Canis lupus familiaris: one gene and its partners. Each later gene encodes a partner of the first gene's protein in a complex. Links are inferred from orthologs where the notes say so. Each region holds a gene or a part of one and is shown in the gene's direction. Other genes may lie near its edges.

The links. The genes of interacting proteins can lie anywhere in the genome.
Region 2: the proteins of SART1 (region 1) and UBL5 are in contact, whole or in part, in a crystal structure (PDB 4PYU), measured with the Homo sapiens proteins. The link is inferred for Canis lupus familiaris from reciprocal best matches to the Homo sapiens genes SART1 and UBL5. Residues at the interface, in NP_005137.1 of Homo sapiens: Ser117, Leu118, Ser119, Ile120, Thr123, Leu126, Arg127, Leu130, Leu132, Lys133, Leu135; in NP_001041706.1 of Homo sapiens: Met1, Glu3, Arg15, Lys17, Cys18, Asn19, Asp21, Asp22, Asp26, Lys29, Leu30, Ala33, Gln34.
Region 3: SART1 (region 1) and PRPF4 share a complex: the UniProt entries of both Homo sapiens proteins name them as parts of the U4/U6-U5 tri-snRNP complex. The link is inferred for Canis lupus familiaris from reciprocal best matches to the Homo sapiens genes SART1 and PRPF4.

Annotation. Positions count from the first base shown.
Region 1 is NC_049239.1:51,813,363-51,817,590, reverse strand, and holds the start of SART1 (U4/U6.U5 tri-snRNP-associated protein 1), read left to right. Parts: upstream 1-1,428; 5' UTR 1,429-1,493; coding exon 1,494-1,806; intron 1,807-2,003; exon of another isoform or gene 2,004-2,101; intron 2,102-3,584; coding exon 3,585-3,642; intron 3,643-4,025; coding exon 4,026-4,081; intron 4,082-4,228. Other genes in the region: TSGA10IP (testis-specific protein 10-interacting protein), read left to right, coding at 1-76. UniProt on the Homo sapiens protein: Plays a role in mRNA splicing as a component of the U4/U6-U5 tri-snRNP, one of the building blocks of the spliceosome. May also bind to DNA.
Region 2 is NC_049241.1:51,569,494-51,572,904, reverse strand, and holds UBL5 (ubiquitin-like protein 5), read left to right. Parts: upstream 1-1,246; 5' UTR 1,247-1,400; intron 1,401-1,672; 5' UTR 1,673-1,683; coding exon 1,684-1,739; intron 1,740-1,932; coding exon 1,933-2,016; intron 2,017-2,167; coding exon 2,168-2,205; intron 2,206-2,712; coding exon 2,713-2,756; 3' UTR 2,757-2,911; downstream 2,912-3,411. UniProt on the Homo sapiens protein: Ubiquitin-like protein that plays a role in cell proliferation and sister chromatid cohesion by associating with spliceosomal proteins. Participates thereby in pre-mRNA splicing by maintaining spliceosome integrity.
Region 3 is NC_049232.1:68,050,454-68,054,519, forward strand, and holds the start of PRPF4 (U4/U6 small nuclear ribonucleoprotein Prp4), read left to right. Parts: upstream 1-1,266; 5' UTR 1,267-1,394; coding exon 1,395-1,421; intron 1,422-2,369; coding exon 2,370-2,547; intron 2,548-3,994; coding exon 3,995-4,066. UniProt on the Homo sapiens protein: Plays a role in pre-mRNA splicing as component of the U4/U6-U5 tri-snRNP complex that is involved in spliceosome assembly, and as component of the precatalytic spliceosome (spliceosome B complex).

The DNA of each region.
Region 1 (4,228 bases):
CCCAAAGACAGAACCCACCAGAAGGCACTCCAACAGGCACTCTACTCCAAGCCCAAGTCAAGAGTCTAGCCCCTAAGATAACAATTAAATGCTTTATGGGAAATATAACGTGTAATTTCTGGTGGTGCTGGGAAGAGGCTGCAGGTTGGGAGTAGGAGGTAGCAGGAAGCAGCAGGCTTAGCTTGCCCCATCACCCAGGAGCTTTGGTTGTGGAGCTGCCCCCACCAGCACACACAGCTCTGCTTCTGCTCCTGAGTGGATCATCTCACAGAGCAACAGCTGTGACTCCTCCACTCCCATTTCCAACATTTATGCTGGGTCCTAGGAATTCAAGAGGGAACAGGACCTAATGGCCTCTGCCTTTGAGAACTCAGGGTGGGAGGGGAGGAGGTTTGGATCCTTAAAGGGGTACGTATCTTACACTGTAACCAGTGGTTTGCACAGGGGCCGCCAGTCCCAGCAACTGGGGGTTGCGGGTCAGAGGAGGAATTATGTGAATTGCGATTTTACTTTTTAAAAGACTTTGTTTATTCATGAGACACACAGAGATGTAGCCAAAGGGAGAAGCAGGCTCCCTCTGGGGAGCCCGACAGGAACTGGGTCCGGGATTACGACCTGAGCCAGAGGCAGACGCTCAACTACTGAGCCACCCATGCGCCTTGGGATTTTAACTTCTAAGTAACTTCAAATTTGGGCCCCCAAGGAGGGGGGTGGGAATGAGCTCACATACCCAGTCGTGCTGTGTGGAATTTTGCAGTTTCTGGGGGTTCAAAGTACAGATTTAAAAACCCAATCCAAGGTGAGGGGGGTGCCTGGGTGGCGTCTCCCACTCTTGGTTTCGGCTCAGGTACGATCTCAGGGTTCAGCTGGCCCTTGTCTCCCTCTCCTTGCCGCTCCCGCTTACGCGCTCTCTCAAATAAGTAGATCTTAAAAAAAAAGAAACAAAAGACAAGGAAAAAAGAACCCAATACGAGTAAGGTGGAAAGGCAGCATTTGATAATATCGGGTGTAGGGGCTCAGAGGCTGGGCTGGGTCTCAAAACAAGCTGCGGCGTCCCACACCCGATGGAGCCACGACGAGGGGGCGGGGGCGGGTGGAGCCCACCGGGAGGACGCCGACTGGAGCGGCGGGCGCGGTGCACGGTAAAACCGGTAAACCCGTGAGGCAGGGAGCGTCTGGTGGCGGGGGGGGGGGCGCCTCCAGCTCCCAGATTGCCGGCTTTAAGGGCTTATAGTTCGGAGGCCTGTAACCCCTACACCCGGCGCACGCACGCACTTCGAAGACCGCCACCAGACCAACAGCTCCGCAAACACGCAGCCGGGCTCCAACCCCGGCCTTCCCGTGAGCCCTCGGGGCAGGCACCGAGGCGAACGGCGGAAGCAGCCACTCTTGGTTTCCGGCAACACGACAGCGGCTGCCGGGCGACCCGGAAGTAGTCCCATTTTGCGTCGTCGGGGCTCGGCGGCGGCCGGGCTCGGGGCGGACGTACCACCATGGGGTCGTCAAAGAAGCACCGTGGGGAGAAAGAGGCGGCCGGGACGACGGCGGCGGCCAGCACCGGAGGCGCCACCGAGCAGCCGCCGCGGCACCGGGAGCACAAAAAACACAAGCACCGGAGCGGCGGTGGCGGGAGCAGCGGTGGCGAACGTCGGAAGCGGAGTCGGGAGCGTGGGGGCGAGCGCGGGGGCGGGCGGCGCGGGACCGAAGCCGAGACACGCAGCGGCGCGCACGGGCGGGAGCGCGGCCAGGCTGAGCCCTCAGAGCGGCGCGTGAAGCGGGAGAAGCGCGATGACGGCTACGAGGCCGGTGAGGGCGGGGCCTGTGGGGGCGGGGCGGGGCGTCCCGGGGCGGGCGGTCTGGCCTGGGTGCGAGCCGAGCGCTGCCGCCCCGGCTCCCCGACGCTGTCTCCGTCAGCAATTATTAGAGAGTCTCCCCGTTTGGGATTAAAAGTTGTCTCTCTCTACTAACCTCTGCGAGGGCAGAGGTTTTCTGTTGTCTCAAAATTGGCCCCTCACAGGCCCTTATTTGTTGAGTGAATGAATCAATGAAGTTGTTCTAGCTCGTGCAGAACCAAGAAGAAACCTGATATTGGGCAAACCGGGTAGGGTTCATAGCAGAGATAGGAAACCGGTCGGAGCACAAAGGGCCCTACAGAAATTTGAATTTTGTCTTGAGGGTGGTAGAGAGCCATGGATTTAAGCTGAGGAATGAGTTGATCATATTTTGCAAAGATTCCTAGATTGAGACCTGGTTCAAAAATAGTCAAGACTGGAGGCCACGTGAGGATTGATAGTGGCGTGTGCTGAGGCAGCGGAGGGTGGAGAGACCTGAACAGATTGAAGAACCGTTTGGGAGGAGGAATTAGAGCTTACTTAGCACTTGGGTGAGGGTAAGAAGGAAATGAGGATGGCTCCTTAAATTTTGGTTTGAGCAACTGGGTGGGTGGTTGTGTCTCCTGAAATTGAGGACTTTGGGAGAGAAGCAGACTTTTGAGGGGAGAGAGTTCAGTTGTGGAGAGCATTGCAACCGATAGGGTTTGGGCTGGATAGAGCAATTTGGAAGTCATAAGTAAATCAGGTGGCAAATGAAGCCTGGCGAGAGAGTAAGGAGTGGGCAGTAGAACCTTAAAAATGCCAGCATTTTCGTAGTAGGTAGAGTAAGAGGCTATAAGAATGCTTGATGGTACAATATCCAGAAAAGAAAACTATAGAATCTTGTGTCATGGGGTCTGTTGCAAAGAATAGTCAATGGTGTCACACACACCACAGAAAATAAAGGAAATTCGAGCTGAAAAGAATCCGTTGGATTTAGAAATAAGGAGGCTGGTGACCTTGGAGAGAGCCTAGAAAGGTTGAGATCCAGGGTCCAGGTGAGGTATAGGGGAAGAGGTAGGTTATGGAGTGGGGACGCAGGAAGGATGAACAGGTGGTAGCACCTGGGTGGGGAAGCTCCATCTGGTGGCGTCTAGCCTCTGTCTGTGTGTTGTGTTCCGAAGTTACTTGCTGAGTGAGAGATGAGTAGAGGAAGTCTGAAAAGCTACTTTATCTCAGCATCCTCACTATCCATCGCAAAACAGGGACCATTAAGTGTATTTCTTGACTGGATGAACTGCGCAGAGAACACAGTCATGCTGCTAACACAGTCCCTGACCAGTGGGGAGAAACAGACCTGGAAGTGAGTGATGAGCTGTGGAGTTCAGGAGAGAGCAGTTCATTCTGACCAATAATTAAATAGGAGTTCAGAAGGAGGTGGCATTTGGTCTCAGCATTTGGATAGGATCTCGTCTATCAGAGTTAGGCCAAGGAGGGCAGTGTGGGCTGAAAACAGAATGTACAGAAGTGGAGAGGAGGCAGAGTGAAGGCTGCAAAAAGGTTGGACCTTTTGGGGCAGGAAAGGAAGGTTATGTTGGGGTCTCAAGAGATTGGGACTGAGATGGAAGGAGCTACTGAGATGGAGGAAGGTTGCTGTTTTCGAGTGTCTCAGTAGGGCCCGGGTATGGGTAAGGGAGGTCCCTGCAGAGCTCGAGCCAAAGATGTGGTTTGTTGGCCCTTTGTTCAGCTCCTGAACTATACTTCTTGTTCCAGCTGCCAGCTCCAAAAGTAGCTCAGGAGATGCCTCATCTCTTAGCATCGAGGAGACCAAGTAAGTTCTGTCTTCCTGATGTTTCTACTTTTATTTTCTGAGACAGAGGGCTTCTGGGAACAGTTTCCTGGGGGACCATTCACACACTAAGGCATTCTGACTGGAATTGGAAATGACGTATAACCATTTGAGTTACAGAAAAGACGCTAAGACCCAAGAGAAAGATGGTCTTCTGCTGGTTAGGGGCAGGCCAGGCCTAGTGCCTGTGTTCCCTGATTTGGAGGCCAGCATCCTTCCCAATGTCCTTGGCTGCCTGGGTCAGTCTCTGCTTTGGGGACCCTTAGGACTTCTCAGTTCCATCCTGTTTTCACTCTCTATCCAGAAATGTCTCTGATGTCCCTATTTTGTTGGCAGCTCCTAACATGTGTATCTCTTGTCCTCAGTAAACTCCGGGCAAAGTTGGGGCTGAAACCCTTGGAAGTCAATGCTGTCAAGAAGGGTGAGTGTGGGACTGAGGATGGGGGTGAGGGAGGGCATTTGGGTGGAGGAGAAAGATCATCTGAAGGGGTCTTTGAGGAGGATGGGGTTATGGCACAGGTTCAGCACCATTTAGTGGCCATGTGTGTGTATGTGTGTGTGTACACAC
Region 2 (3,411 bases), on another chromosome or scaffold:
CTCCTTCCTTTGTCACCTTAATCTGGAAGAGAGGGTGTCTATGCCGCAGTGGTAGCCTAGTCCTTAGAGTGTGATCACGAGGTCCTGGGCTCGAGTCCCACATCACGTTCCCCGCAGGGAGCCTGCTTTTCCTTCTGCCTATGTGTCTGCCTCTCTCTGTCTCTCATGAATAAATAAACAAATCTTTTTTAAAAGACAGAGAGACAGAGAAGGTGGATGGAGCAAATCAGAAGCAGCAGCTCATTTTCAGAGCGAATCCCTTTAGGCTCACCAAACTGGGAAAATCCTGTCTGCAGAGAAAGAACAGCCTAATGGTTCCATTGGCAGTGAAGGGGCTGCTCTGGGGCTGAAGGGCAAGGCTGAGATCTGGTACAAGGTGCTCCCTGCAGGGCTGGGGTGACCTTCCTCAATCACACAAACCCGGGTAATCACCCTCTTCTGTCGTTTCCACTCGACTTGCCCATCATGCTGGTTGGCATGCAACTTGGACTCCATTCTAAAGATTGATTGATTGATGAGAGACACAGAGACAGAGGCAGAGACAAGGGCAGAGGGAGAAGCAGGCTCCCTGTGGGGAGCCTGATGCGGGACCCCATCCCAGGATCTGAGCCAAAGGCAGACCCTCAACCACTGGGCCACCTAGGCGGCCCTTTACCCAAAAAAAAAAAAAAAAATGTTTTAAGATTTTTATTTATTCATGAGAGACGCAGAGAGAGAGGCAGAGACAGCAGAGGAGAGAACGGGACTCCGGACTGGTGCGTGCTGGTATCCAGGACGTGATCAGGAGGCCGCTTTGCTGACTGTGGTCTGCGCCCAGGTGTGTGTGTCGGGGTGCAAGGGGGGGAAGCGATGGCCAAAGGGAGGGGTGGGCAAAACGCTTCCAAGTCCCCGCCCCCAGTGAAGGGAGGGGGCCCGAGATGACAGCACGACTTCACCCAGGCTCCTCCTCGCCCTGAAGCTGAGGCTCCACTGAGAGGCTCCATCGGGCTCCGGAACGAAAAGTCACCACCCCCACGGGGCGTCCCCGGGCTCCCCTGATGTTCCCACCAGACGCCACACGAGGCCGCGGCAACCCACACCTTCCGACGGAAGGGGGATCTCTCTGCCCGGCCCCTGACCTCTGACTTTGCTTTCACGCCCCTTCCCCGGCCACGCACAAACCGGGACCCCAACGCGGCCCCACGCACCGACGGGCGAGTATTCTCTGCCCAAACTCGGGACCCCGAAGCGGCGCTCGGAACCTGCCTTGACCGGAAGAAAGCCGGAGCGGTGTTGAGCCGGGAGCGGGGAGGGCGCTTCCGGTTGTTCACTTCCGCTTCCGGCTCTCGGCGTCTACTCTAACCCGGGCTCCGCCCTCGAGCGAGGAGTTTGTGGCGTCGGCGGGTTCCAGGCGATTCGAGGTGAGGGGCTGGTGGGAGAGGCGCAGAGTCGGGGAAAGCGGACGGACCTGGCCATCAAGGGTGTGCGCGTCTGCGAAAGGCGAGGCCGGGCCTTCAGGCGACCTGAGCGGGGAGGCGCGGCCGCCTGGGGTCCGCGGTCCTGGGAGTTGGGGCCTAGGAGGACCGCGAATCTGGGAGGTTGAGGGGTGAACGTAAGACTCAAACCCGGGGTCTTGGCTCTTGGGAGACCCCTGAAGTCCTGACTGCTGCCTTCCACCCCACGCCGTGTGTAGCTCCAGACAGGATGATCGAGGTTGTTTGCAACGACCGTCTAGGGAAGAAGGTCCGCGTTAAGTGCAAGTATCCACCCGCGGCTGAGAGGCAGTGGTTCCTGGGGTGCTTGATGTGAGGCAGGCATCTCCGTGTGTGCTGTAGGGTGACTTTAGTTAAACCCGGGGGAGTGGGCGGGTGGGGGCCTGGCAGGGCGCCTTCAGCCCTGGGATGTCCTCTTCCCCGTTCTCCCTTCCGTTTTCCTTAACTCGTCTGCGCCCAGCACTGATGACACCATCGGGGACCTTAAGAAGCTGATCGCAGCCCAAACTGGCACCCGTTGGAACAAGATCGTCCTGAAGAAGTGGTGAGTGCAGCGGTGGAACTGGGGACTGGATGGGACTGGGCCAGAAGGTTTGGGTGGGGGAGCCCTGTGGGCTTAGGCAGAGCTTCCTCAGCTTGCCTCCTGCATGAAAATCCACCTCAGACTTCAAATTCAAAAGGTTTCTATCCCACAGGTACACGATTTTCAAGGACCACGTGTCTTTGGGGGACTGTATCCTTTGCGTGACTTCTTGAGGAAGGCTCTGTATACCAGACTTGGTTCTCTTTGTTCGGTGCTGGAGTCTGTATGAGATGGTGCACATAAAGTATTTAACTTAGAATGTAGCACACAGTAAGCATTTGGAAAATGGGATCCAAAGAAAAAAGAAAGAAAGAAAATGGAAGCCATGTCATGTTGGTTAGGGGTGGAGGGTGGTTGATGAAATGCTTTGGCTTGGCTTAGAAGAAACTTGAAGGTCTAAATATTTATTACTGATCTCTACCTGAGTGTGGACAAGTGGTCAGGGTGGAGTGAGACTCAGGCATGTCTGTTGTGCAACAGGAGCGTGAACCTTTGTTTTTTTTATAGTTCTGATTCTTTTCAAATCAAAATTGACCTAGTTCAAAATGGCTCCCTTGGCCCTGGGTGGAGCCCTCAGGCCACCCTGACCCACCTGTGCAAGATGAGAGGGTGGAGATGGAGCCCACAGTGAGAGTTCCTTAACGTTTTTTACTTCAGATGAAATCCACGATGGGATGAACCTGGAGCTTTATTACCAATAGAGCAGAATTCCTTCCATTTGTCCTGTCCTGCCTCCCCCCCCACCCCGCTCCTCTCCCCTCCTGTTGGCTCCTCTCCCCTCTTCACTACCATCTCCCCCACACTGATACGGATGCTTGTTTTTAAAAACTCATGTTAATAAAATCTTAGAAGTTGCTTCATTGTTGTCATCTTTGAAGGAGGTCTTTTCTAACGTGGGAGGGTTGTCACTATACTCTCAGTACCCAGCAGCTCAATAAAGAGTTCAGGATCCAACTGGATCAGTGAGGGAAGAGTAAGCCAGCAGCTTGGGAGCCTGAATGGAAGCTCTGGGATTTGCCAAGGGTCTGTGAAGGTCGAGAGATCCGTGGGATTATTGGCATCCTAATAGATCAAGGGGGTCTGGGTAAGGACAGTAGATACAGTAGTTAGGAATACAGGTTCTGGATTCAGACCGACTATGGTTGGAATCCCAGCTCTGCCACTGCTGTGATCCTGGGCCAGGGTAGTTAATGCCTTCATTTCCTTATCCAAACTGGAACTGATAGTGTTTACTTAATTGCCTTGTTGTGAAATGTGTAGATGAGCTAAAGCATGATTAAGCAGCCACAGTTCCTTGGATTTTGGAAATTCAAGTGAACAGAGACTGTGGTTTAGGCTAGGCTTTGATCATTAGTG
Region 3 (4,066 bases), on another chromosome or scaffold:
GCGCCTGGCTGGCTCAGTTGGTGGCGCATGGATGGGGCTCTTGATGTGGGGGCTCTAAGTTTGAGCCCCACATTGGGTGTAGAATCACTTAATAATAAAAATCTTCCCTTTTTAAAAAAAAAAAAAAGGTAAAATCAAAGAAATAAATCAGATACTCTCTTAAGTCCGATGTAAACAAATGGTAGAGGAAGCCGAAGTTCCAAGGGAGAGTAGGGGAGGGAAAAAAAAAAAAAAAAACCCTGCCGTACAGGTTCCTCACTTTTCTGCAAACTTTGTAAAGCTCGCCACTAGGAGGCAGTACCGAGTGATGGGCAAAGCTGCTCGCTCAGGAGGCCCAAGGGCAGAGGGCAGGGGCTCTAATCCCACACGCCAACCCTCTGGGACACTAGCTTCATCTTCACAGTGGACGCTGGTTTCCTCATGTTCTGCCCTCTGTTGTCTAGACTGAGTGAGGTACGGCAGTGTAAGTGCCTGGAACACAACTTGGCATTTAGTAAACGCCCAATAAACACCAGCTATTATTATTATTATTATCATCCTAATTGTCCTTGGGGGGGGGGGGGGGGGCCTCCGTCCGGCCCGAGAATCACCCAAACTTCAAGCATCTCCACCCCCGACAGGGGGGAAAGCCCTGGCCTTGCTCCTGTCGGATGCCGCAGCCCGCCCCCCCCCCCGCCCCCGCGGTACCCAGGCCGTGCAGAGGTGCCCGTGTGCACTTGACAGGCATCGCCTCACTCCGACCCCGGTACAAACACTCGGCTGAAGACCAGCAATAAAAGCAGGCCGTGGCTCCTCCTCCGGGCCTCCGTTCTACTTGGGAGCTGGTGGCCGCCGCCCGAATCCACTGCGCATTCAGCCCGCTCCAAGGAGGGCCCTGGGACAACCTCCCGACAGCGGGGAGGGCGACCAGCTGCAGAGTGGCACCCGCGGGCCCACAGCGAGGGTTTCCATGGCAACCTGGCCCTCCGCTCCGGGCCCACCGCAGCCCCTCGCGGGGCCGGGGGCCACGGCAGGCCTCGGAAGCCCTCCATTTGCTCCGGAGCTCAGCCCGCGGCCGCGCGGCCCGACGCACCTACCTCTTTCCAAGCCTGCTCGGCCTCCTCCCGGAACCCCGGCGGCGCCCACCGCGAATCTTCAGCTAAGCGAGCGGGACTACACTTCCCAGACTGCTCTGCAGAGTCTCGTCCGCCGCGTGCTTTTCTCCTTAAGTTCACGCTACTCTTGGCGCCACGACGCTTCCCTACTACTACTCCCGTCATGCCCCACGCCACCCACGACGCTGCGTCGGCCCACTTCCGGCCAGTGACGCAGTTCCGCTTTGCCGGGCGCGCGGTGGACGGTCTGAAAACGCAGAGCTCGGCTTTCGCCGGGGTTTGGCGGCCGCGGAGCTCAGCATGGCTTCCTCACGAGCCGCCTCCACGGTACGGAACTCCACTCACTCTGGCGGGGAGCGCGGAAGGGGCTGGGGGGGCGGTTCCTGCGAAATGGGGTCCCTCGGGGAACGGGCTAAGGCGGTGGAGGTCGGAGGTGAAAGGCTGAGAGACTCGGTCCTTAGAGGAGCAGCGTTTTCCAGACCCCGAAGTACGTTCCCGTGTTTTATTTATTTTTATTTTTGTAAAGATTTTATTCATTCATTCATGAGAGACACAGAGAAAGGGGCAGAGGCACAGGCAGAGGGAGGAGAAGCAGGCTCAAGGCAGGGAGCCTGATGCGGGACTCGATCCCTGGACTCCAGGATCACGCCCTGGGCCGAAGGCAGCGCTAAACGGCTGAGCCACCCAGGGATCCCCCCGTTCCCGTGTTTTAATTCATTTGCACCCCTCACTACAGGCCCGAACGGTAAATACCTCTTCCGACTGCTCCAAAACCTGAGCTCTAGAAGGCCCAGATTCACGTCTGTGTCAGACTTCATTGCAGTTTGGCCTCCTAACTTCATATGTGTTGCCTTACTCTGAAAACGTTTGAAATGTACCGAAAAGTAACTAACTTGCCCCCCTTTAATACTGCGTTGGTTGTTCTCCTTGATACTGCCCCTGTGATGAGGGGTAACCTTGGAAATTTCATAAAACCCAAGAAGAGGTTGCCACGGAATGATGCAGACATGTTCCAAAGCAAATCTTTGATAGAAAAGTTACCAAGAATAATGATGGACTAGTTCTATTAGCCTCTTCCCGTCTGCAGAACCTAAGTAGCTTGGAGAGACACCCCGCCCCCCAGTCAGTGAAGATAACCTGAACTGGTGTCCGACCTGTCCTTTTCATTTGGGGGGAAAATAGGATTGAAGCTCAGGATGAGCTCCATCCTTTGGGGGAAGCCTAATAAGTGGTTAGTATCAGACCTTAGGTTAATCCGTGTCTTTGATTTATCAGGCAACCAAAACTAAGGCACCTGATGACTTAGTTGCTCCTGTTGTGAAGAAACCACACATCTATTACGGAAGTTTGGAAGAGAAGGAGAGGGAGCGTCTGGCCAAAGGAGAGTCTGGGATTTTGGGAAAAGAAGGACTTAAAGCTGGAATTGAAGCAGGAAATATTAACATAACCTCTGGTAAGATGCAAATTGTGAGTCCCTCTTTATCTTTGTATTATAATATCAAAAATGTTAGTTAAACTTGGATCTATGTAAGGCCATCCTTTGCCTACCCTGGTTAGCATCATCTAGAGAGCCTTTTTCTTTCTTTTTTTTTTTTTTTTTTTTTAAGATTTTATTTATTTATTCATGAGAGACAGAGAGAGAGAGAGAGAGGCAGAAACATAGGCAGAGTCAGAAGCAGGCTCCATACAGGGAGCCCGACATGGGACCCGACCCCAGGATCCCACCCTGGTCCAAAGGCAGGCTCTAAACCACTGAGCCACCCAGGGATCCCATAAAGATTTTATTTATTTATTTTTTTAAGATTTTATTTATTTTTTATGAGAGAGAGAGAGAGACAGAGAGAGGCAGAGACAAAGGCAGAGGGAGAAGCAGGCTCCATGCAGGGAGCCCGACGCAGGACTCGATCCTGGGACTCCAGGATCATGTCCTGAGCCGAAGGCAGATGCTCAACCGCTGAACCACCCAAGGTTGTGAGTTCAAGCCCAGAGTTGGGCTCCACACCCACACTTAAAAAAAAAAAAATCCTCATAGTCAGTGTGTGTTTTATTTATTTATTTTATTATTTATTTATTAGAGCATGAGCCAGGGAGGGGCAGAGAAGCAGATACCCCACTGAGCAGGAAGCCTCACTTGAGACTCGATCCCAGGACTATGGGATCATGACCTGAGCGAAAGGCAGATGCTTAACCGACTAAGCCACCCAGATGCCCCAGTGTTGGTTTTAAAACTAACTGCTAGGTTATCCAAAAAGTCTATAGTTAAGGGAAAGCCCTTTAATGGTAATTTTCTCCAGTTTACTAGTTAAAGTCATAGATATCCTCAGCTGGGGCTGGTTTAGAGAATAGGTTTGGCAAGTGTTAAAGTACTGTATCTATTTTATCTTCTGGATAGAAGATCTAGTTAACTCATTTGCTGAAAGTGCTTTGTACTTCTACTTTCTGATCTCCTCTAAGTTATGTGTGTATGTAGATGTAAGGTTGTCAAAACAAGATGATGTGAGGTAAGCCTGCGTGGCTCAGTTGGTTAAGCGTCCAACTCTTGGTTTTGGCTCATGTCGCGATCTCAGGGTGGTAGGTTCTGAGCCCTGTGTTGGGCTCCCTGCTCTACAGGGAGTCTGCTTCTCCTCCCTCTGTTCCTCCCTGCACTCCTGCACTGTCTCTCTCGCTCTCTCTCGTAAATAAATAAAATCTTTAAAAAAAAAAAAAAAAGATGACTTAAGTAATTTTAAATGAGCTATCATTTAGTTTTTTGTGTTTAGCAAAATTTAATAAACTGAGAAACAATAAAGTATGTAATAAATTAGTTCCTAGAGGATACACAGACTGCAATTGTAAGAAATTATTTTCCCCTCTGTTTGAAGATCTAGTGATAATGCTGATATTACCTGTTCTTCTTATAGGAGAGGTGTTTGAAATTGAAGAGCACATCAGTGAACGACAGGCCGAAGTGTTAGCTGAGTTTGAGAGAAGAA